Saccharomyces cerevisiae S288C: one gene and its partners. The gene in region 4 interacts genetically with the main gene of each other region. Each region holds a gene or a part of one and is shown on either strand. Other genes may lie near its edges. The genes, in order: BUD31, SLA1, COM2 and PAN1.

Region 1 (3,898 bases), on a different chromosome or scaffold from region 4:
CTGTTTTCAATTGCGGTATGTGATGTAACTGGGAAACTCTCAGTATAGGGGAGGAGTTCAATTGAATTTCAATGGAAGGGAATTTCCCTGCTTCCTCTCTTTCTTCCTCGTCAGGAAGATCATCATTGCCTTCTCCACTCTCAACTTGTTCTAATTCATCAAGTGTAGAATCTATTTCAAAATACTTCCCAATGTCTTGTAAGGAGTCCTTTACAAATTCATAACCACGATTTTCACCTTTGAAAAATTTTGTTTCGGCACCCGGTCTGACCTCCCAGAAATGACCCTTACCATCGCAGGACTTTTCAGTCTTGATGAACGCATCATTTAAAGACAAGTTATGTCTTATTGAATTTTGCCAACTAGCATCTTTCTGCTTGTAATAAGGGAAGTGAACGTGGATCCAATGATATATCTGGGATAGCGTTAGCTTTCCCTCCTGAGATTGCAAAATGGCCAAGCAAATCAAAGTTGCATACGAATATGGAGGTTTCTTGGCGAGTTCACCATTTATTCTTCTTCTTTCCAAAGATTGAAGAATTTCTTCCAAGGTTAGGTTACCATTGGACCGAGCGCATGTGTCCGATCTTTGGCGCTTGGCCTTAGATGGAGCAATTGGGGACGAGTGATCCGGTGAGAGGGGATGCGACGGCCTCTTATTTACTTCCTTCATTGTTTTTCTCACAGTTGAGCTCGGGGGAGTAATCATTTCCTTTTCGTCTTCTAGTGTTCTCTTGGCTTGGGTTAATAGCACGGTGCTTTTTTCCGTTAAAAAACTATTATGGCCATCAATGATGGATATGTCTTCATTCATCATTGAAAAGTTGGAATTTTTGTTGATTTTTTTTTTTTTTGCTTCGAAATAAGAGGTAGTTTCGGTCAATAAAAGAAGCTCAAATAGTAGATGTAACTATAATAAAAGGGGGGAAAAGAATAGAATACGATTTAAAGCGTTGGAACCTCTGTTAAGATATACTCTATATGATTTTCAATTAATCATGCAACATATATTTAAAGTTTGAGAAGGATCAAAGGGCACCGTAAGGGAGGAGAAGAAGTAATTTTTTGATTTTAAATGAGGACGCGTTTTAGTCAGTGTTTCAGATCCTTATTACATCCACAGGTTTTAACGCGTTATCTTTGTTCCGAAAAAAAAAAAAAACGGAAAAATATATTTTTTCGCGTCGCGTTCTCGCGTCTGTTTTGTTTTTTCGCGTTCCAATGACCAAAATGGGAAAGTGGTCGTCTTTGACGAAGGAGACGAAAACCTCTTCTAAAACGTTGGGAGAGAGATAATTACATGGCCAGAACAATACTGCAACGTGCATATAGTCGTTAGTCTGTGCTTGCACATCCACGGCAGCCGCAGTGGACGCACTGATGGAAGGACACCTGTGTGCCCTTTTTGCGTGCTTCTTCCTCTAACTGTGCACGAGGCACCCTGCAGATGCAAGTGCTACCGTTGTTAGTTTCGTTCTTTTGAATGCAGCGCAGACAGCACAGTTTTTCATACCCGGTTTTGCGCCATTTGGCAATTAGCAATTTATCAGCATACTTTTCCTTTATCAACCAATCGTAAAGGTCTTTGGAGATGGCCTTTCTCTTGTAGTACAGAGTATATATGTATCTAGAGCGCTGGTGGTGGAGTTGCATTATCTCCCAGAGCTGCTCATTGGACTTTGCTGCGAGCTTAGACGACTTGTCCTTTTGGGCATCTCTGAGTTGGATTTCGAAATCTGTGAGGGTTGGCTTGATTTTTTCGAACCCGTCAGGTGCAGGCTTGGATCTTCTGGTCTTTATGCGCGGCATGTCGTTTTGTGAGGTGAGCTTTGCTAGTCTTGACGGCTGTAGAGGTGTTTACATTGATGATGAGTCCCTAAGAAAATTTTTCTTTTTTTTTCAGTATTTCACTTTCCGTTGTGAACGACAAATGTACTATGCGTTCAAGAGCCAACGCAGTATCATCGTCAAAGTTCCTACCACAACGCGTGTGATTGATCTTGTACTGGTTGTAAATGTGCTAAGTCTGTGACTGCAGTGAATAGGATTGTTTTAATCAACGATGTTATTTAAAAAAAATTAAACGACACCAGCAGGATTTGAACCAGCGCGGGCAGAGCCCAAGAGATAGCCGAACTTTTTATTCCATTCGAGTCTCTCGCCTTAACCACTCGGCCATAGTGCCATTTCGATTTGAAATTATGGTTTAAAGCGGTAGGTTTTATACATGTTTCTAGGCGTTTTTTCACAGATCCAAGACAGTAGAGCAGCTTGGCGTAGGTAGGATGGTGAGTAGAAAAACTAAAAAAAGAAAAAAGGAAGGAAGAACTTATTATACATTATGTAGAGTAACTAATTTTCATGTCTTTTGTGGATTATTTTACATTCTCAGAGAGAACCTCCAGTAGAGTCATTATACATAATATATTCACTTTTATCAGGTATGGGCCCTCAATAATCGTCATTGAACTCAATTCCAATGAGATCTTGCTTATTCATTTTTATAAATTTTGAGGAAGCGATAACGCATTCAGAATTGACTGAATGCTGGATAAACTAATAATTAAGAATTAAAAAGTAGGTGAGGAAAAGTAAAGCATATAAGCTTCTCACTCAAAGATGAGGGGGGGGTGAAAAAAAAAAGAAAAAAGAAAAGCCATTATGGCGGTTAAAGACTGGTTTTCCTGGTTTTGATGAGCCAGTCTTTCCAAATAAATAAAATCATTTCCCAAGCCATCAACAAAGAAACGAATCCAACACTGAGGTTGAAAGTGAACATGGGGGTAAACCCCCTATATTCCATGGCTTCAATGGACTGATCCGTGGACTCCATAAATACCAGACCACCACAGAGGAGACAGAACGAGGTGATCAACTCCGTGAAAGGCTTGGATGCGGCACTGTTGGTGTTGGGCACCAAAAACAGAATCAAAAATGTTAGCAGACGGAAGAAGGACCCATAGGACAACAAGTATCCCCATTGCGTGTGAATGGTAGTAGAAAATTGCGAGGACTGTGCGTGCTGGGACATCAGAATCCCAGTCCAAAATATGGTGAAAGCGGGGAACGGGTTTGGAGAGTACCCCGGTGTGGCAGCAACTACATCGGTCTGTGGCCGTTTGCGGGCATGCTCGAATCGCCAATGGTTGAGCTTGTACTCCGTGAGTAGCCCACACAATCCGGTTCCTATGAACATAAACGCGATCGACACATGCTGTAAATCCTTGGCAGTCCATGCGCCGCCGTTTCCTGCCAGGTGCTCCAAGAAGATGTTGGTGGACCCGTAAAAGAAAATGAGGAAGGATTCAACGAATTCCATGGTGAAAGTCCCCGCAGGAGCAAACCGGAAAAGAAGATTGGAGGAACGCGTTTGTGTGAGTTGAGAGGTGAAGCTGATGTTGTTCCATGCCCAGCCGTACTTAGCTGCGAAACCGCAGTATCTTGCTAAAGAGACAACGCCCAGAGTAAAAAATACGCCGCCCTTAATCCAGTGGGCCAAGAGATTAAAGATGCGGATGCCCTTGCCGAGCAAGTTACCTACAGCGAAGCCGATGATTAGGTCTACAAAGATGTACATGAATAGCGGGTAGGTAAGCATGTGAAAGACCACGTTGGCGACGCACGAGAGGTGCGCGGCAAGCATCTGGTACTTCGTGTTGGTAAACAAGATTCGGAAAACGGGTATGTCTTGAGGAAGCAGAGGTGGCGCTTCAATGGAAGCAATTTCGTCGTCATCATTATCGTAGTCTTCGTCGCGCAAAGTGTCGTGGTTGGAGGTGTTATCACCCTCGTCTTCGCCTTCAGCGCGTCTCCGTTTATTATTATTGGTGGCCGTGGCGGTCGTGGTGTCTGAAGAGAGCGAGAACAACGTGTCTCTGTTGGAAGAAGGACTTGGAGA
Region 2 (7,064 bases), on a different chromosome or scaffold from region 4:
ATAAATGGACTAAGGATCTGGGTTGTTGGTCGTTATATAAATAATAAGCTTATACCCCTTCCTTTGGACAAGTTTTTTCCCTCATAATTACGTCTATATTTTATAAATATCATTGTAGTATTCGCATTGTTTAAGTGGTTACCATTTGAAACGACTCATACAGACAAGCGGTTACAGATGAAGCTTTCTGAAGGCACAGATCAGAAGTATTTTAATGTCGGTTGTCTATTAGTGGAACCAAAGTGACTACACACCTCCTCTGTCTGGAAGAAATAAATTCTTAGGGTCGACTCCACCATTTCAACTTTAGTATAATATGACAATAAAACATTATTGGGACTGAGAACGATTATATTAAAATTAGTAAAATACATACATAACTACTTATAAAAAAAAAAAGAGAAATTTGCCATTTTCACGAGTATAAGCACAGATTGTACGAAACTATTTCATATAGCTTGTTTTAGTTATTATCCTATAAAATCTTAAAATACATTAATCTAGAATCCAAACGGATTTGATGCAGTAGCATTGAATATGTTGGCTTGCCTTGATTGTTGAGGTCCATTACCAAACCCAAATCCAGTAGGTTGGTTCTGTAATGCTTGTTGTTGTGGTTGTTGCATAGCACCCCCAGTGTTAAAAGTGTTCATCATCTGTGGTTGTTGCATAATTCCATCGGTGTTGAATGTGTTCATCATCTGTGGTTGTTGCATAGCACCACCAGTATTGAAAGTAGTCATCATTTGGAGCTCTTGCATAACACCACCAGTATTGAAGGTATTCATCGTTTGTGGTTGCTGTTGTTGAAGAACGCCCCCTGTACTTAAAGTATTCATGGCTCCACCAGTGAACTGGTTCTGGTTTAATGGCGCAATACCTCCGGTTTTTTGTAAAGTCAAACCGAATTGGGATTGCGGCCGGAACCCGCCAGTGTTTTGAGCTTGAGAGCTGAACGAAGTCTGGGGAATCATGGCGCCTCCAGTATTAAATGTATTCAAAGCACCACCAGTTCTCTGCAAAGGCATCATTGCTCCCCCTGTAACTTGTGGTAAAGCATTGAAGGACGTTTGAGGCATCATTGCTCCTCCAGTAATTTGTGGTACAGCATTGAAGGATGTTTGAGGCATCATGGCACTCCCTGTATTTTGAGGTTGGGTCATCATTGCACCACCTGTTAATTGCTGTGAAACGCCAAATGATGTTTGTGGAATCATAGTGCCGCCTGTTCTTTGTACAGTTGGCATTGAGACACCAGTATTAGCTGAAATTAATCCATTAGCAGTTTTTTGGACAGGTAATATTGAACCTGTTGGAAGTTGTTGTTGCCCCTGAACATTGAATGAAGTTTGCGGGAATTGCGCACCTCCTGTGGTGGCAATTGGTATTAGGCCACCTCCAGTTTTTTGCAGAGGTAAGACGGTAGCTGCTGCGCCGAACGTAGTTTGTGGCATCATTGCGCCGCCAGTGTTAGAGATAGGAATTAACCCATTTCCTGTCTTTTGAACAGGTAGGATACCACCAGTAACTTGCGATTGCATACCAAAAGTTGTTTGTGGTACAACGAAGCCGCCGGTTCTTTGCATAGGCAGCATATCGCCCCCAGTAATCATTGGCATCATCACAAAGCCAGTAGATAAGGGTAAGATATTGTTGCCACCGGTTTTGAATGGATCCAATGGAGCGGGAGCAGATGAAACCGGAGCAGATGAAACCGGAGCAGCAGGAACAGTGGTGCCGCCAGTTTTCACGGGTTCCAAATCTTTTAGGTTTGGTTCAGGTGTCGAGGCAGCTGCCTTTTTAGGTTCTAAAGGTTGCAAGTCTAATAAATCCTGCATGGAACCAGTAAATTCTGATTTCTTAGAGAGTAAATTAGATTCAGACTTAGAAGCCGGTTTAACAGTCCAAGCATCATCTGTCTCAGCTGATGTGGAAGGAGCTGTTTGAGCAGGACTTGTTGTTTGTGGCAACAATTGCTGAGGCAGTGAGGTTTCCGGACTTGTAGCAACGTTCAATGAACCATCAGGTTGTGAAAACATATTTCCAGTGGCATTTGTAGGAATTGATGCAATATTTTCTCTTCCAAATTTCTTGTCAAGATGTTTCATTACTCTAACAATATCACCTTCGCGCAGACCCAAGGTTCTTAACATTGAGTTATTGATGTCAGGCATCATGTCTTCAGTAAGCTGTTCTCTATCAAAATTTATTGTATATCTTTGACAATTGCTTACATCAACGCCGCAATTCAAGAAAAATTCGAACCAATCATATTTGTTACTGGAGTTGTTGTTATTGCTGCTTTCGGCTGGTGGTACGGACGTCGTATTTGGAACGGAGGTAGTAGAGGTTGGTCTTGGTGGTTTTATTGGAGGCAATTCCTTTTCTTGCAACCTTGATCTTTCTTCATCTAGGAGTTCTCTGGCTTTTTTCAATTCGTATAATTCACGCTCTTTCAATCTCCTATCGCGTTCTTTTTCCTCCTGCTCCTTCAATCTCCTTCTTCTTTCTCTTTCAGAGTCTCTTGAATCAGTGCCACGGGAACTAGACCCATCATTCGCCTTAAATTTCTCTAAGGAGAACCCAGTAATTTTTTCCACATACGCTAAATCTTCATTGGATAGTTTATCAGCGGCGACAGCAATCTTGACACCATTAGCCTTGTGCAAGTGGATTTTCCCCTTAGCACATCCAATGAATTCTGCATCCACTTTGAAAGTACCACTTCTATCAACCCATAGACGCGATTTTTTTGGATTGGGGAAATCTTTGGTCGCCGAAGAGTTTTTTTTGTGAGAGGACAATGAACTTTTTCTTGACCTTTTACCGGCAGCACTACCTACAACATCGTTTTGTAGTTCATCATCTTTCCAACTGGCATTGGCATTGGATTTAGATCTTGATCTAGATCTCGACCTAGATGGAGATTTGGTGAAGTTTTTCTTGATAGACTTGATGATACCGCTTGCTGTAGATTCAGTATGTTTTTTGTCACGAACAGGCTCAATAAACTGTGCAGGAACGAGACCGCTTTTCCCTGAATCAACCAGTTGGCACATCCACCAGTCCTTAGATTTTTTATCATCTAAAATGTAGACTTTATCGCCTGATTTTATGGTTAATTCGTCCTGTGATTCAGCCATGAAGTCATATTGAACAATACCTCTCTTTTTGGATTTGGAAGCCATTTCGACTTCTCTCAACCCAGGATCACGGGAAGCACCTTTATATTCACCAATAATGTTCATGATCTCTTCACATGTGGTGGTATTACCAGTGTGTAATTCAAGGCTTCTATATGGATCAACAAATTCCAAGAACATGTGTTTCTTTTCGTTATCATAAGAGACCAATTTATCAATTGACCACTCATGAGGAGTCCCCTTTTGGGGTATGAAGTTTATCTTGTTGTTACCGATTGATAGCTTGGCCTTCTTCTTTTTCCTTCCCTCGATTTCGGTAACGTTCCAAGAGTGATACTCTGTATTGTATTCGTGATTTCCAACGTTGTTGCTGTTGCTGTTGTAATAGTAATCATCCTCTTCATCGTCATTATCGTTATCGCTGTATGATAGTCTTGTACGAGATCGAACAGCCGCAGCGGTGGCATCAGTAGTTTCGGTAGTAGCCGTTGGTCTTGCAGGCATGGCAGGAGGAGGGCCCTCTTCATCCTCATCTGGAGCTTGGTCTTCTTTACTTTGCATCATACGAGCTCTATCATTGTGTTGAGGAGGTGGTAAAAAGTTGGTGGGTAGTACGGCAGCAGAAGCAGGAGCGGCTGCAGGAGTAGCTGCAGGAGCTTCAGCGGCAGCGGGAGCCTGTTCCTGCTTGGAAGTGGACCCATTCTCTGGTTCGACGTAATTGCCTGGAATGAAGCCGAATTCATTGGAAACGGTAGACTTAACCAACAGCCAATCAGCATCTTTATCATCGAATACATCAAAAACGTCATTTTCATGAAACGTCAATTCTTCATCAGCATTTTGCACCTGTTCATAATCATAAATGGCTCTTACCTTCTTCAAAACAGGAGCTTCTTCAATGTAAGTGGAGGGCACTAGACCCACCGGTTCTTCGCTATCGGAACCAATGACTCTTTTCTTTACTGTCCACCAATCGTCAATGTCTGACTTCTGTAAGAGGTACAACAGATCGTCTTCTTGGATGGCCAGTTCTTCTGGTGTCTGCGGCTCATAGGCATAGACGGCCCTATAGATGCCCAGAAACACAGTCATACTCTAGCTCTTTTGTATATAACACACTCTGTCGCCTTGGCTATGTTACACTATCCCTTCTTTTAGGATTGCAATAGATATACATAGTATATATGCGCTAAATATTCGTTCTGTTTTCGTCTGATGTATCTCGATTTCGCATGAGTGGAAGGAAGCCCCTTTTAGGAATCGTATAGTCACTTTCTACGAAGCAACATTCTACCTCTATCAATTACATGGTTTAATCTACGCAGGCATGTTCTCTAAGTTGAGACCGCCTATGGGAACCTATAAATCGTGATTGACACCGTTTGCATATTATCACTTTTCTTTTCCTTTTAGCCTCGCTATTCCTGGGGCTCTCTATGTGTGATTGGAAGGGTAGAGACAATTGTCCTGCGCCGGCAAGAAAAACATCGTGTGTCTCTAGAGCAGCTTTGCATTCTAATGTGCGGTGGAAATGGTGCGAAAAGTCGACACTTGACAGGGCTTCCAACTGCTGGCGTGGCACATAACTGCCCAGCAGTGAATGGCCTACTTCATACTCCACCTGTGCCGCATCGGCGAGCGACACTTTACCGCCTAGGTAACCATGTACAGCTACTCTTTTGGGCTTGGATACCTTCGCTTTACTATTCTCACTGCCCTCTATGCCCTTGTCGGTAGCATGAGATTGTTGCGTAAGCTGTTGAAGCTCAGTCGCACTGAACACTACCTGGGATGACTTTTCCAGCGCTGAAAGCCCTGCGAGTACGTCATAGTATCCCATATTACTTCCACTCATTCTCAGCTATTCCTTGTTAACACCGTGCTCTGCTGCTTTCAGGTAAAGCCATTATTTCCACGACAACTGCATTTCACTTTTCATTTTCTTCCAGAACAACAGGCGCTGCCCTTGTTTCCGCGGAGCTGCCTCCTCTGCCGCTCGGACTTTCCGCGGAATAATAAATGAACTATCACAGTGAGTCTTAGAATGCAAATATGTAGATACTGTTATAGAATCTCATTAATGTATTTATGTATTTCCTGTGTTTGTGTCTTCAGGAGCCTTCCAAAGCAACCATAGGTCTTAGGCGACAACTGCATCAGCAGTTTTATTAATTTTTTCTTATTGCGTGACCGCAATGAAAGTGAAGAAATCAACTAGATCAAAAGTTTCGACAGCATGTGTCAATTGCAGAAAAAGGAAAATCAAATGCACAGGTAAATATCCATGTACCAACTGCATTTCTTACGATTGTACGTGTGTATTCCTAAAAAAACATTTACCGCAGAAGGAGGATAGTTCCCAGTCTTTGCCTACTACAGCTGTTGCTCCACCCTCTTCCCACGCCAATGTAGAGGCTTCAGCAGATGTACAGCATCTGGACACTGCGATTAAGCTAGATAATCAATATTACTTCAAACTGATGAACGACCTGATACAGACTCCAGTCTCTCCGAGTGCGACGCATGCTCCTGATACTTCCAATAATCCTACTAATGATAATAATATTCTCTTTAAAGATGATTCCAAATATCAAAATCAACTGGTTACGTATCAAAATATTCTGACAAATTTGTACGCTCTGCCGCCTTGTGATGACACTCAGCTCTTGATTGATAAAACGAAGTCGCAGTTGAATAACCTGATTAACAGTTGGAATCCCGAAATAAACTACCCCAAGCTTTCCAGTTTCTCTCCTCGCCCACAAAGATCGATAGAAACGTATCTTTTAACCAACAAGTATAGAAATAAAATACACATGACGAGGTTCTCCTTTTGGACAGACCAAATGGTTAAATCACAAAGTCCAGATTCATTTCTAGCCACCACTCCACTAGTAGATGAAGTATTTGGTCTTTTCTCTCCAATACAGGCTTTTTCACTAAGAGGTATAGGATATTTAATTAAAAAAAATATCGAAAACACGGGTTCATCGATGTTAATAGATACAAAGGAAACTATTTATCTAATATTAAGATTGTTTGATTTGTGTTATGAACATTTGATCCAAGGTTGCATCTCTATTTCTAATCCATTAGAGAACTATCTTCAAAAAATAAAGCAAACTCCTACTACGACGGCATCTGCTAGTTTGCCTACTTCCCCAGCACCTTTATCTAACGATTTAGTCATTTCTGTTATTCATCAACTACCTCAGCCATTTATACAATCGATTACCGGGTTTACGACTACTCAATTGATAGAAAATTTACATGATTCATTTTCGATGTTTCGAATAGTTACTCAAATGTATGCTCAACATAGGAAGCGCTTTGCGGAATTTTTAAACCAAGCTTTCTCCTTGCCCCATCAAGAAAAGAGTGTTTTATTCTCGTCATTCTGCTCATCAGAATATCTTCTATCTACTCTTTGTTACGCATACTACAATGTTACCCTATATCACATGTTGGACATAAACACTTTAGATTACCTAGAGATTTTAGTGTCATTGCTAGAAATCCAAAATGAAATTGATGAGCGTTTTGGATTTGAAAAAATGCTAGAAGTTGCGGTTACATGCTCCACTAAGATGGGATTGTCTCGTTGGGAGTATTATGTTGGAATAGACGAAAATACTGCCGAACGGAGAAGAAAAATATGGTGGAAAATATACAGTCTGGAAAAGCGTTTTTTAACTGATCTTGGTGATTTATCCTTAATAAATGAACATCAAATGAATTGTCTCTTGCCGAAGGATTTCAGGGACATGGGATTCATTAACCATAAAGAATTTTTAACGAAAATTGGTACGTCCTCTTTATCACCGTCATCGCCCAAGCTAAAAAACTTGTCATTGTCCAGGCTTATTGAATATGGTGAGTTAGCGATAGCCCAAATTGTTGGAGATTTTTTTTCAGAGACTC
Region 3 (4,608 bases), on a different chromosome or scaffold from region 4:
AAACTTTGTGAAAAACGCCCCGGATAACTAGAGTTATTTTAAAACACAGATGTTACACATGAACTATAACCTATCCTCATCGACTGTAATAGTTGATGGGGATTTTGAAATAAAAAAATGAAAAGATCAATGACAAAAAAACTACAGCGAAACGAAATAAACCTTCTTCAAATCGACAAGAACACTTCTATTTATATAGGTATGAAAAGGAAAAAGTGAAAAAAAAATTTCTCGACTGCTTACAAGGTGCCGTAGGATACGATTAATTCATCGCACGTACGCCAGTAGTACGGATACAAATACAGCTGCCTACTGTGAATTGAGTATGAACGAAGTTACATGCGCAAAAATTCTATTCTTGAAAATATACTATAATCATATTATTAAAATACACAATTATAAAAGACAAAGCCTCTATTAAAAAAAATAAATGACACCTTAATCAGCGAGCGTTTGATTTATATTATTCTCTCATCATATTTACAAAGCTTTCTTTGCGGCAGCTGCTGGAGAAACTTTGTTATCCCTGTTAAATCTTGGTCTTTGTGGAGGAGCTCTGTTCTTTCTGTCTTCTCTGGATCTAACTCTAACAATTCTGGCGTGAATAGCACAGGAGACACAGTAGTGCAACTTGTTGTAAGTCTTTGGCAAGGCGTATTCTGGGTAGACAGAAGCTTCGGACAAATCTCTGACGGCAGCAGCTTCAACAATGTTTCTAATAGCCATTCTCTTGATAGCCTTATCCTTTGGAATGGACTTGGAACAGTTAACACATCTCACTGGCTTGACGTGACCTCTACCCTTCTTGTTTCTACCGTTGGAAGCTCTCTTTTTTGGCATCTAAAAATTACATACAAATTCAGTAAATTGAAGTTAGTAAAGAGGAAATATCGAAAATACTGAATAAAACAAAGGATTAATAGAAACGTCTATGCCTTATTGCTTTAAAAAATTTTCTTGCCTCTACCATTTCAGCCATCAATGTCACCCATCTTTTGTGGATTATAGTGTCGGTATGAATATCAACTATTGACCAGCTATTGTTTTACAATTTACTACCGCCAATCCCGGACACACCATAATTTGCTTGAAACTATTGCAATTTTGTTGGTTGAAAAATTGGCTTTACGGCAACGTCATTCTTTATAATTCTTTCCTTCCACTTTGCTCCTTTATCACATTATTCGCTCTTATAACATACTTTTCCTGTTTGATTATGTGTATTTATCTTTCTTTTTGAAAGTAAATTGAGACACGCTTAAGAGCAAGAATTTAAGGTAAATATCACTATATAGATAATAAAACACTCTGTTATGTTACGATAGACGCCTAGCGTTATTTCCCGGTGCACGATCGAATGCTGTCAATACTATCTGAAATTTCATGCAAACTGCGAATGTGAGATGCCATCGCGCGAAAGATCTCAAAAAAACACAACACGATGAAAAGAACGCAATTCTTCTCAAAAGAAAATTTAGTAGGCCCCATAATAAGGTTGGGTGTAGAAGGTGTACGGAGGTAAATATGCAGCAGTCCTCTTATTATAATTTTGATCAACCCCAGAAGATGCCGAAAAGGCGCGGCTGTCAGTTTTAATTCTTGATTATCGAATGATAGAAGGTTCGATATTTACGCAAGGAGGGAGCGATGAAACAGATAACTGCCAACATTGTATTCCCGCATCTGATCGTCCACGGAATTAATATAAGAAAATACGCTATTAAACTTAGCAAGGAATAAATATTATATTCAAGCCATCTCCTTTACTCTTTTCTCTTGTTTTTCAGTGTTTTTTTTTTTTGGCGCCTGTCATACCCCTTTCTCCATTCCGGGAACGCAGGGAACAGTGAATTCACACTGCCAAACACCTATGAGGTTATTGTATACATATTATCCATAAACACCTCTGTGCTTGCAGCAAGTCAAGCCATTTCTCTGACGGAATTTCTTATAGCAGTTGTTGCTCCATGCGGATATACTTGTTCAAACGTGCATAGCCGCCCGGCGTTAATCACACATGGCCCAATTGGGTGCTGTTTTTTTACATTTACGGTTACGAGTGCGACGCTTCGGAAATGGAGCAAAAAATTTCAGCGGATAACCCACGGAAAGGTGGCTTTTACTGTTCCGAGGGCTTTTGCCCAAGTTGTTGCCCGGCGCGGTTCCTAGCGTGGCCATCCAAGATATATATAGATAGCTGAATGGGCGACTGAGAGCCATAGGTAGCATGGGCTGGCTTCGAGCAAGATGATGATTTTCTGTTTTGAATTTGTACAGTAGGCCTGCTAGACTTCATAAACTATCCAGGGACAAATAAAGCTTTACGATAACATAGACAGACAAGCATGTCTTTATACCCTTTACAAAGATTTGAATCAAATGACACGGTTTTCAGTTACACTTTGAATTCTAAGACTGAGCTGTTTAACGAAAGCCGCAATAACGACAAGCAACATTTTACCCTTCAACTCATACCAAATGCCAACGCCAATGCCAAGGAAATTGACAATAATAATGTAGAAATTATCAACGATCTAACAGGCAATACTATTGTCGACAATTGTGTAACTACAGCTACTTCATCAAATCAGTTGGAGAGAAGGCTTTCGATATCCGACTATCGTACCGAAAACGGTAACTACTACGAATACGAGTTTTTTGGTAGGAGGGAACTTAACGAACCATTATTTAATAACGACATCGTAGAAAATGATGATGACATCGATCTAAATAATGAAAGTGATGTATTGATGGTTAGCGACGACGAGTTGGAGGTAAATGAAAGATTTTCCTTTCTCAAGCAACAGCCTCTTGACGGGCTGAACAGGATTTCCAGTACTAATAACTTGAAAAATCTGGAGATACATGAATTTATAATAGATCCAACGGAAAACATTGACGATGAGCTTGAAGACTCTTTTACCACTGTGCCCCAATCTAAAAAAAAAGTTAGGGACTATTTCAAATTAAACATATTCGGCAGTAGTAGCAGTAGTAATAATAACAGTAATAGCCTTGGTTGTGAACCCATTCAGACCGAAAACTCTTCCTCGCAGAAAATGTTCAAAAATAGATTCTTCAGAAGTAGGAAAAGCACTCTAATCAAGTCTCTTCCTCTTGAGCAAGAAAATGAAGTGCTTATAAATTCAGGGTTTGATGTTTCCTCTAATGAAGAAAGTGATGAGAGTGACCACGCGATAATAAATCCGTTAAAGCTGGTGGGAAATAACAAGGATATCTCTACTCAAAGCATTGCTAAGACAACGAATCCATTTAAGTCTGGCAGTGATTTTAAGATGATTGAGCCAGTTTCAAAATTCAGCAATGATTCGAGAAAGGACTTATTGGCTGCCATATCAGAACCATCCTCTTCTCCTTCTCCTTCTGCACCATCACCTTCAGTACAATCTTCCTCTTCTTCTCATGGCTTAGTGGTGAGGAAGAAGACAGGAAGCATGCAGAAGACGCGCGGAAGGAAGCCCTCTTTAATTCCGGACGCTTCCAAGCAATTTGGTTGTGAATTTTGCGATAGAAGATTTAAAAGACAAGAGCATTTGAAGAGGCATGTCAGATCTTTACATATGTGCGAAAAACCATTTACATGCCATATCTGTAATAAGAACTTCAGCAGAAGCGATAATTTGAATCAGCACGTTAAAACTCACGCTTCCTTATGAAATTTTAAAGATACGGAAATTGCAAATTGAAAAAGTTTAATGACACTCACCAGTAATGATTTTGAAACGAAAAGGCACTTCTCAGGGTGAGACGAAGAAACGAAAAGTTTTCTAAGCACAGATACACTTCTCTCGCCGCCCTTTTAATAATTTAGAATAAAAATATTATAGATTTATAGATTATATTATGCTAAACTAAAAAGATCTACATCATATATTATTTTTAGCCTGTTAATGATATTAAGTTCATTGCAAGAGGATTGTAAATCACATGCATTTCAAATACAGAACTTATTTTAACATACACATATATGCGTGCATGTTGGCAAGGGTAAAAAGTTAGAGCTTTCTACCATATATCTGATTAACATCGTAGTCCGATGGAAATTACTTTGAATTTTACACTCATGGAAGTGCACTCCTTCTCTTCTCTTCATTTAGTTCAGCGACTGTTAAAGATCGCGATCTTTCATGGGTCCTTTGTTTTATAGCGCCATTTTCTTGTCCTTTATCACCATGGCAGCTGGTATTTCTAGCATGTTCATCATTACCAACATTAGTACTCATGGTAATACTTGCGTCCTTTCGTCCTCTTATTTTATTTGAAGGTATGGATCTCCTTCTGCCTGCATTAGTGGAACTTAGAGCATCTTTTAACAAGTCCCTTGAATAAAGAACTTTATCGAAATTTTTGTCCTTTCGATGATCGTTATTACCGTTAAATTCAACGATATCTGTTAAATTTGAGGTTTCCGTCGTAGCTTTCTTTTGGTCTAAACGCTTTGGTAATACTAATGGGCCAGGCTTACTAATGGGTTGGCTGCGGCTCAGTGCCTGATGCAGCGTCAAGTCATCCATATTTTGCGGCGTTATCGTCGTCTCACTGTCATGAACACTTCCATTGGAATACATGAAATTATTTGATCCCTTC
Region 4 (7,968 bases):
TCTAAATATGAAATAACATCCACTTTACGTGGCGTTTGTAAAAAAGTACTAGAAGATGACTCGGTAAGTAAGAAAACGCTTATCAGAAGAGCTGAAGCAATGAAACTATTGGGTGAAGTCTTTAAGAAAACTTTCAGAACCAAAGTCGAACAAGAAGAGGCACAGATCTTTGAAGAACTTGTAGCAGAAGCTACAAAAAAGAAGAGACATACATGAAGTTAGCAATCATCTCTTGTATATTAAAAATTCAAAAATTCACTTTTTTTTATTATCTGTATTCAATATAATATAATGTATATAAGATCACACTAATACTGATAATTCTATTCTTGAAAGAAAGACAATAGAACAATAAAGAAGTGATTGAACTCAGTGACAATGATAATTTATGTGATAAGGAAGTGGTTATGGCTGGAGAATTATGCCACACTTAAATGATAAGCTCTTTTACCTTTCTGGGTTTAGGAATTTTTTGAGATTAATACAGATAAAAAAAAATAGGCCGAACATTAATTACTCATACAACTCAAAAAGTGCAGCGTGCAATTCTAGATCAAGAACATAGATAATATAAACAAAATAACAATGAACAAAATTCAGCAAATCAACGATAAAGAACTACAAAGTGGAATTCTTAGCCCGCATCAATCATGGCATAATGAATATAAGGATAATGCTTATATATATATCGGAAATCTCAACCGAGAATTAACAGAAGGTGACATATTGACAGTCTTTTCTGAATATGGAGTCCCTGTAGATGTAATTCTTAGCAGGGATGAAAACACAGGAGAATCGCAAGGTTTTGCATATTTGAAATATGAGGATCAACGGTCAACGATTCTAGCAGTCGATAATTTAAATGGATTTAAAATTGGCGGTAGAGCCCTCAAAATTGATCATACTTTTTATAGGCCAAAAAGGAGTTTACAAAAATACTATGAAGCTGTAAAGGAAGAATTGGATCGAGATATAGTTTCGAAGAACAATGCTGAGAAACTCATTTTGGCTAAAAAGGACCAACCAAATTAAATAATTTTTTCTTTCATCGCATATCTTATATTCATATAGCCTAGAAAAAAATAATCAATATCATATTTGTAATTCTACATCCTTTCAGAAATTAGTATACATACGTATCTATAGAAAGCAAATTAAATCTTCATGGAAGGGGTGGGGGTGGAGGAATACCTGCAGGTGGAATTGATGGGATACCTGCAGTAGAAACTGGTTGTGCCCCTTCTTCCTCTTCATCTGTACCAACTGATTCAGGAATCGATAAAACGTCATCATCAGAATCGGATCCATATGCGCCCGTGCCTTTTTCAGCACCATTGTAGTTATCAACGTGAGCGATAATAGGTTCTGAAGTGGAAGCTTGTTGAGTTGGTAAAGGTGGGGGTGGAGGCAAAACGCCTCCAGCTAAAGCTGGGGTGGAAGAACCCGATTTTTGCACGGCAGTAGCTATTGCAGGTGCTGAGGGAATTGGAGGTTCTTGAAAGCCATCAACAGCAGGCAAAGGGGGAGCCAACGGGACGGGTGGCTCCTGAGTAACAGAAGGTGGTATCGGAGCTATTGGAATAGGACTACTCTTTTCATTAGAGGTATTCGCCTGAGGGACAGGGACAGCAGGTGGAACAGGGGTAACAGACGGCAAGGGAGCAGCAGTAACAGGTGGAGCACGTGCATGATCAGGATGACCAATCTTTGCTTCTTCAACCTTATTATCTACAGCTACGCGGTTATTACTCTCGTCTTCATCAGACCATCCATCATCCTCGTCCTCATCCAATCCTCTTTGGATTCTTCTTTGCATTTCTGCAGCGCGAGCATCGAAAGTAGATGTAGAGCTAGCTGATGCATCCTTGAAGTATGGATTATGGCCCATTGTCGTGGAAGGCAGACCAGTACTGTTCTTACCTGCGGCAGGGGTAACAGCAGCGTGTACCGAGCGAGGAGCATTAGTAGAATTTTGCGAAAAAGCTGCAGATGGTGCCACTGGAGCGGCCTGAGGAACGTTCACATGGCCGCCAAAGTTGTCTTTTCCGTTTGTCTCCTCTTCGTCACTTTCATTTTGAGCATCCTCAATTTGCTTACGTAAAGCTGCAAGTCTTTTTTCTTTATCAGCCTTTTTTTTAAGTTTCAATCGTTTTAGCTCCTCTTGTAAACGCTTTTCTTCATCATCTTCATCTTCATCATCGGATTCTTGCTTTGCATTATATACATTCTGAACAGGTTGAGTTGGTTGAACAGGTTGAGTTGGCTGAACAGGTTGAGTTGGCTGAACAGGTTGAGTTGGCTGAACAGGTTGAGTTGGTTGAACAGGTTGTGTTGATTGAACAGGTTGAGTTGGTTGAGCGACTTCCACATATTTTTCTTCTTGGAATGGAGTTGCTCTAGGTTCAACTAAATTGGAAGAACCAGCAATCTGTTGTGGCTGTTCTCGAGAGTTTTCACTGCTAATCGATCTGGAACTTTGAGTAACATTTCGCCTATTCTTATCAAATTTAGCTAATTTTTCCTTCATTCTCTTTTTTGCCTGTTCTTTCAGATAAGCTGCTCTTTCTTCAGCAGTTTTGAACTGAGAATAAGAAGGCGACGAGGAACGGTCATCTACAGGGGTTGGTGTTGAGGAAGGCACAAAGGGAGATGACTCAGTCACTGATTTATTTGAATTTGACTTCAGATCATCCAAAAATTCACGAACACCATCTTCTAACCCTATGCCAAATTCCCATCTTTCAAATTCTTGATTGGATATCATATTCGATCCTGTCATAGTAGACTTCAAGGATGCAGAAATATCTGATATAGATGACCTTATGTCTTTAATGATTTCTTGGTTCTTACCATTTTCCTGCTGGATTCTCTTGATTTCAGCACTTTGCTGTTCATCTTCCATGGAAAGTGAATCCTCCGATTCCGTTGATTTTCCTGTTAGAGCAGACATCCTTGCTCTCAACAAAGCCCTACTCTTAGCTTTCTTCCTATCATTTTCAGTTATTTCACCATTTGGACCAGATCCAATTATCGAAGAAGGATTTTTTTTTCTATACAACTGAATTTTTGCATTGGTAATCTCATTATCAATTGTAGAAATTTCATTGAATAGGTTTGGAAGTTTGGCGATGATGGCATCAAAGCGGCTTGTCAAATCTGATGGAATAGAACTGTCATAACAGTTTTCAGGATTGCTGATATTTTTGATCTCATTTTCCAGTGAAGCAATATTTTTCAGATTTATTTCTCTTGAAAACCCAGCATATTTTGGTTTCGCTGTCTTCTTTTCAACAGTCTTATCTACCGAAATGTCATCGGTTTGAAGGGTGCTGCTAGAATGATTAACAGATTTAGCAGATGGTGAAGAAAAAGAAGATTGCTCTTCATTTTTCGCAGAGTAAACCTTCCTACGATTTCTATAGTTCGGCAAAACATCATCATCATTATTTTTGTAGCTCAAGGCATCGATTTTACCAAACGAAGGTTTTTCTTTTGTGGTCGTTGGCTCTGTCTTTAATTGGTTCTTTAAGTTGTCTAAAAGTTTTGTGCTGGAGGGAATTAAACTTGAAGGTAGGACATTGGGGATTGGCTTCCCGTTTAATTTACCGTAAACCAAGTGCATACCTAGTGCAAATTCTTGTTTATTCAATTGGCCGGTGTTGTTTATATCACAAAGGTTCCAAATTTGCTCCAAATCTGCACGATTTAAGCCAGATTTTCTAAAAATCTCCACAGCAGTGGGGGAATCTAACAAACCTTTGTTTTGAGTATCAAAAGTTTCAAAAATTTTATAAAACAAAGATTTTTCCTCCGTGGAAATTTTGTCTTGACTTGAGTTATCAATTAAGTTATTATTAAAGTTGGATTTGGTATAAATTTCGTTATTACCAAATCCTGTCTTTTGGGCAGTCAACGGCATGGTAGCACTAAAGTTAGATGGTGGTAGAAAACCCGTTGGTTGGGGTTGCAACCCGGTTAACTGAGATTGTAATCCTTGTTGATTAAAGGACAAATTGGGCATACTTGCAGGACCGCTTTGCTGGGGCATAACGGAACCATATCCTCCGGTATACTGAGATTGCAAAGCACCGCCGGTCAACTGAGGTCCTAAATTAACGCCAAATGAAGTCTGTGGCATCATACCAGTTGTCTGTGGCATCATACCAGTTGTCTGTGGCATCATACCAGTTGTCTGAGGTTGCAAAGCATTGCCAGTAATGTTGGGTTGCATAGAGGCAGGTGCTCCTCCAGTAATTTGGGGGTTCAATCCGGGAGTTCCGGTATTCATTGACATGTTGAAAGTGGTTGGTGCCATAAATCCTGTGGATTGAGGATTCAACGCCGAGGCAACACCGCCTCCAGTAATTTGAGACTGTAATGGGATACCAAAACTAGTTTGAGGCATATATCCTGTTGGTTGAGGTTGCAAATTTTGTACGCCCGCTGTAATGAATTCATCAAAGGGAGTTTTTGGGGCATCGTTTGCGGAAGAATCCTGGTTTGCAATGCTTAAATTAATGGCGTCAATAAAACTTGAAACTTCGTTTTTTGTCTTAGAATCCAATTCGTAAGGGATAGTGTCACCTTGTAAGACATCATTGATCAAATGCATTGCTAATGCAAATTCAGGAAACAGTAACTCACCTGCTTTTGATGTATCACAAAGCGTCCAAATTCTTGCGAGTTGAGAAGGTGGCAAACCGGATCTCATCAAAATTTTCCTACAATTAGCACCGGAAACAGTATTCGAACCATTGGTAACAATTGATCTGAATAGAGTCTCAAATTTTGCCTGATCTTGGGCAGTAATAAACGACAATCTAATGGCAGGGATTTTGATATCATTGTTTAGACCGTTGTTGGCAAATGAGTTGACAAAGCCAGTTGCGGTGGGCTTTAATGGTTCTAAGGGAGCTTGGTTTTGCGGTTGAAGGTAAAATCCTGTTTGCTGCGGCTTCAAAGGTTGCAAGGACTGTGCTTGCTGAGGAGGTGGCACCTGTTGAGGTTGAGATTGATAATAACCAGTGCCCTGGGCCTGAAGGGGCTGCTGGGTTTGATTAGAAGAGATCAAATTGGGTGTAGACACATAATATCCTGTCCCTTGAGATTGCAAAGGTTGTACTGAGTGTACATTTGCAGTATTAGCAGCTTGGTAATAGCCTGTTCCTTGGGGTTGTATGGATTGTAGCTGAGGCTGTTGAGCCGGATTAGGTGGAGGCATGGTGCCAGTAGTATTCATCATAGGCATACTGGAATTTGGTACGTATCCCGTATGCTGCGGTTTCGCCTGCTGTTGTTGCTGCTGGGGTTGTTGGCCAAAATTACCATTACCATATACACTACCATTATTTCCATTATTATTGTAACCCGTTTGGGGCTGCTGTGGCATACTTGAGAAAGAATTACCAAAACTTTGAGGCATCCCACCAATTCCGGTAGCCTGAGGCTGGTTAAACGCCATTTGCTGTTGTGGTTGAGGCTGGCCTTGGGGCTGGTTTGAAGACTGACCTTGCTGCTGCTGCGGGTAGAATCCATTTGGTTGTTGCTGCTGTTGCTGCTGTTGCTGCTGGTAACCCATGCCCTGTTGCTGGTACGGGTTATACATATTCAGTTGTACAGATTAGCAATTTCGCGTCGCTGATAGATTCTTCCTCTTCCTGCTTCTCGACGTGTGTTTCGCCAATAGATCTATATGGCTTTCTAATGCTTTTTTTCTTCCAATACCAACTTTTGCCCCTAACAAGAAAAAAATATCGTCGACGTGTCATGTGATCAAGCCAATTTATAATAACAAGCGATTGATAAACAGAGTATACATAGCTACTATGCGACTGAGAGATCAATCGGTTATCGTGAGCACCTACCTTTAAGGTTTAACAGATCTGGACGTGATTTTTTTTTTTTTTTTTTGACGAACCAGATTGTCAAATAAACATTGTTAATTGATGAATTTTTAATATCTGCCCAATTGAAGCATAAAAAGCGTCTTAGGAAAGCATTCGTTAAATATCTCTACTGTTGGTAAGCAGGTACTTCAGTAAAAAACCATATTAAACCCAAAATTATCAAATTAGTAGTACATAAGATCGAAGTAGAAAAAATATAGATTATAATCCGATATAGTGTAACGGCTATCACATCACGCTTTCACCGTGGAGACCGGGGTTCGACTCCCCGTATCGGAGTATGTTTATTTTATTTTTTTCATATCCGCTCGAATATTGCCTTCGTTTAAGGTTTCTATATCTCTGGTAAACCTTAACAATGGAATTAATATTAATTCTATATTTCGCAATAATTCTACTGACAGTTATTTTCTTAACCTTTCTTCTCTTTTTTTATTTATTTATTTCTTTTTCTTTCGTACCTAAATTGTTTGAATTTAATAAGAACAGATCATATGCCTGCCAAAATACACATTTCTGCAGACGGTCAGTTTTGCGATAAAGATGGCAACGAGATCCAATTGCGTGGTGTCAATTTGGATCCGTCAGTTAAAATCCCTGCAAAGCCATTCCTATCCACCCACGCTCCCATAGAAAATGACACGTTTTTCGAGGATGCTGATAAAGTCAGTTTCATCAATCACCCCTTAGTTCTTGATGATATCGAACAGCATATCATCAGATTGAAATCACTGGGTTACAATACCATTCGTTTACCCTTCACCTGGGAATCTCTTGAACATGCTGGTCCAGGACAGTACGATTTTGACTATATGGATTATATCGTCGAGGTACTAACCAGGATTAACAGCGTACAACAAGGTATGTACATTTATTTGGACCCTCACCAAGACGTCTGGTCTAGGTTTAGCGGTGGATCTGGAGCACCGCTATGGACCTTATACTGTGCAGGGTTTCAACCTGCAAACTTCCTGGCCACCGATGCTGCAATCTTACATAATTATTATATTGACCCCAAAACGGGCAGGGAAGTTGGCAAAGATGAAGAGTCCTACCCTAAGATGGTTTGGCCTACAAACTACTTCAAACTGGCGTGTCAAACAATGTTTACGTTATTCTTTGGTGGGAAACAATATGCTCCTAAGTGCACAATTAATGGAGAAAACATACAGGATTACTTGCAAGGAAGGTTTAATGATGCAATCATGACACTGTGCGCAAGAATTAAAGAAAAGGCTCCTGAGTTGTTTGAGAGCAACTGCATTATTGGATTAGAGTCTATGAACGAGCCAAACTGTGGTTACATTGGTGAAACAAATCTCGATGTGATTCCGAAAGAGAGAAATTTGAAATTGGGCAAAACGCCAACGGCATTTCAAAGCTTTATGCTGGGTGAAGGTATTGAGTGCACAATAGATCAATATAAAAGGACATTTTTTGGATTTTCTAAGGGAAAACCGTGCACAATCAATCCCAAAGGCAAAAAAGCTTGGCTGAGTGCAGAGGAAAGAGATGCGATAGATGCGAAGTATAATTGGGAAAGGAACCCTGAATGGAAACCAGACACTTGCATTTGGAAACTCCATGGTGTTTGGGAGATTCAGAATGGTAAACGCCCTGTTTTACTCAAACCAAATTACTTTAGCCAACCTGATGCAACGGTATTTATAAACAATCATTTTGTTGACTATTACACTGGAATTTATAACAAGTTTAGGGAATTCGATCAAGAATTGTTTATTATAATCCAACCGCCGGTAATGAAGCCACCACCCAATTTACAAAATTCTAAAATATTGGACAATAGGACGATTTGTGCATGTCATTTTTATGATGGTATGACACTAATGTATAAGACATGGAATAAACGAATTGGCATAGACACCTATGGACTAGTAAACAAAAAATACTCAAATCCTGCCTTTGCTGTAGTGCTTGGCGAAAACAATATACGGAAATGCATTAGGAAGCAATTATCAGAAATGCAAAAGGACGCTAAATCCATGCTTGGAAAAAAAGTACCTGTATTCTTCACCGAAATTGGTATTCCATTTGACATGGA

What was found.
Region 1: mutations in PAN1 (region 4) and BUD31 together harm fitness more than expected from each alone (negative genetic interaction), as found in Saccharomyces cerevisiae (2 studies listed by BioGRID).
Region 2: mutations in PAN1 (region 4) and SLA1 are lethal when combined (synthetic lethality), as found in Saccharomyces cerevisiae (5 studies listed by BioGRID, with this or other methods).
Region 3: mutations in PAN1 (region 4) and COM2 together harm fitness more than expected from each alone (negative genetic interaction), as found in Saccharomyces cerevisiae (2 studies listed by BioGRID).

The regions. Positions count from the first base shown.
Region 1 is NC_001135.5:226,229-230,126, reverse strand, and holds BUD31 (U2 snRNP complex subunit BUD31), read right to left. Parts: upstream 1,810-3,898; coding exon 1,336-1,809; downstream 1-1,335. Other genes in the region: HCM1 (Hcm1p), read right to left, coding at 1-817; TVS1 (Tvs1p), read right to left, coding at 2,669-3,898. UniProt on the Saccharomyces cerevisiae protein: Involved in pre-mRNA splicing. Important for bud site selection.
Region 2 is NC_001134.8:212,132-219,195, forward strand, and holds SLA1 (cytoskeletal protein-binding protein SLA1), read right to left. Parts: upstream 4,236-7,064; coding exon 501-4,235; downstream 1-500. Other genes in the region: HIR1 (Hir1p), read left to right, coding at 1-44; LDB7 (Ldb7p), read right to left, coding at 4,456-4,998; drug-responsive transcription factor PDR3, read left to right, coding at 5,339-7,064. UniProt on the Saccharomyces cerevisiae protein: Component of the PAN1 actin cytoskeleton-regulatory complex required for the internalization of endosomes during actin-coupled endocytosis. The complex links the site of endocytosis to the cell membrane-associated actin cytoskeleton.
Region 3 is NC_001137.3:420,184-424,791, reverse strand, and holds COM2 (Com2p), read left to right. Parts: upstream 1-2,345; coding exon 2,346-3,677; downstream 3,678-4,608. Other genes in the region: 40S ribosomal protein eS26 RPS26B, read right to left, coding at 481-840; serine/threonine protein kinase SAK1, read right to left, coding at 4,083-4,608.
Region 4 is NC_001141.2:364,304-372,271, forward strand, and holds PAN1 (actin cytoskeleton-regulatory complex protein PAN1), read right to left. Parts: upstream 5,606-7,968; coding exon 1,163-5,605; downstream 1-1,162. Other genes in the region: DJP1 (Djp1p), read left to right, coding at 1-216; U2 snRNP complex subunit IST3, read left to right, coding at 586-1,032; EGH1 (hydrolase), read left to right, coding at 6,401-7,968.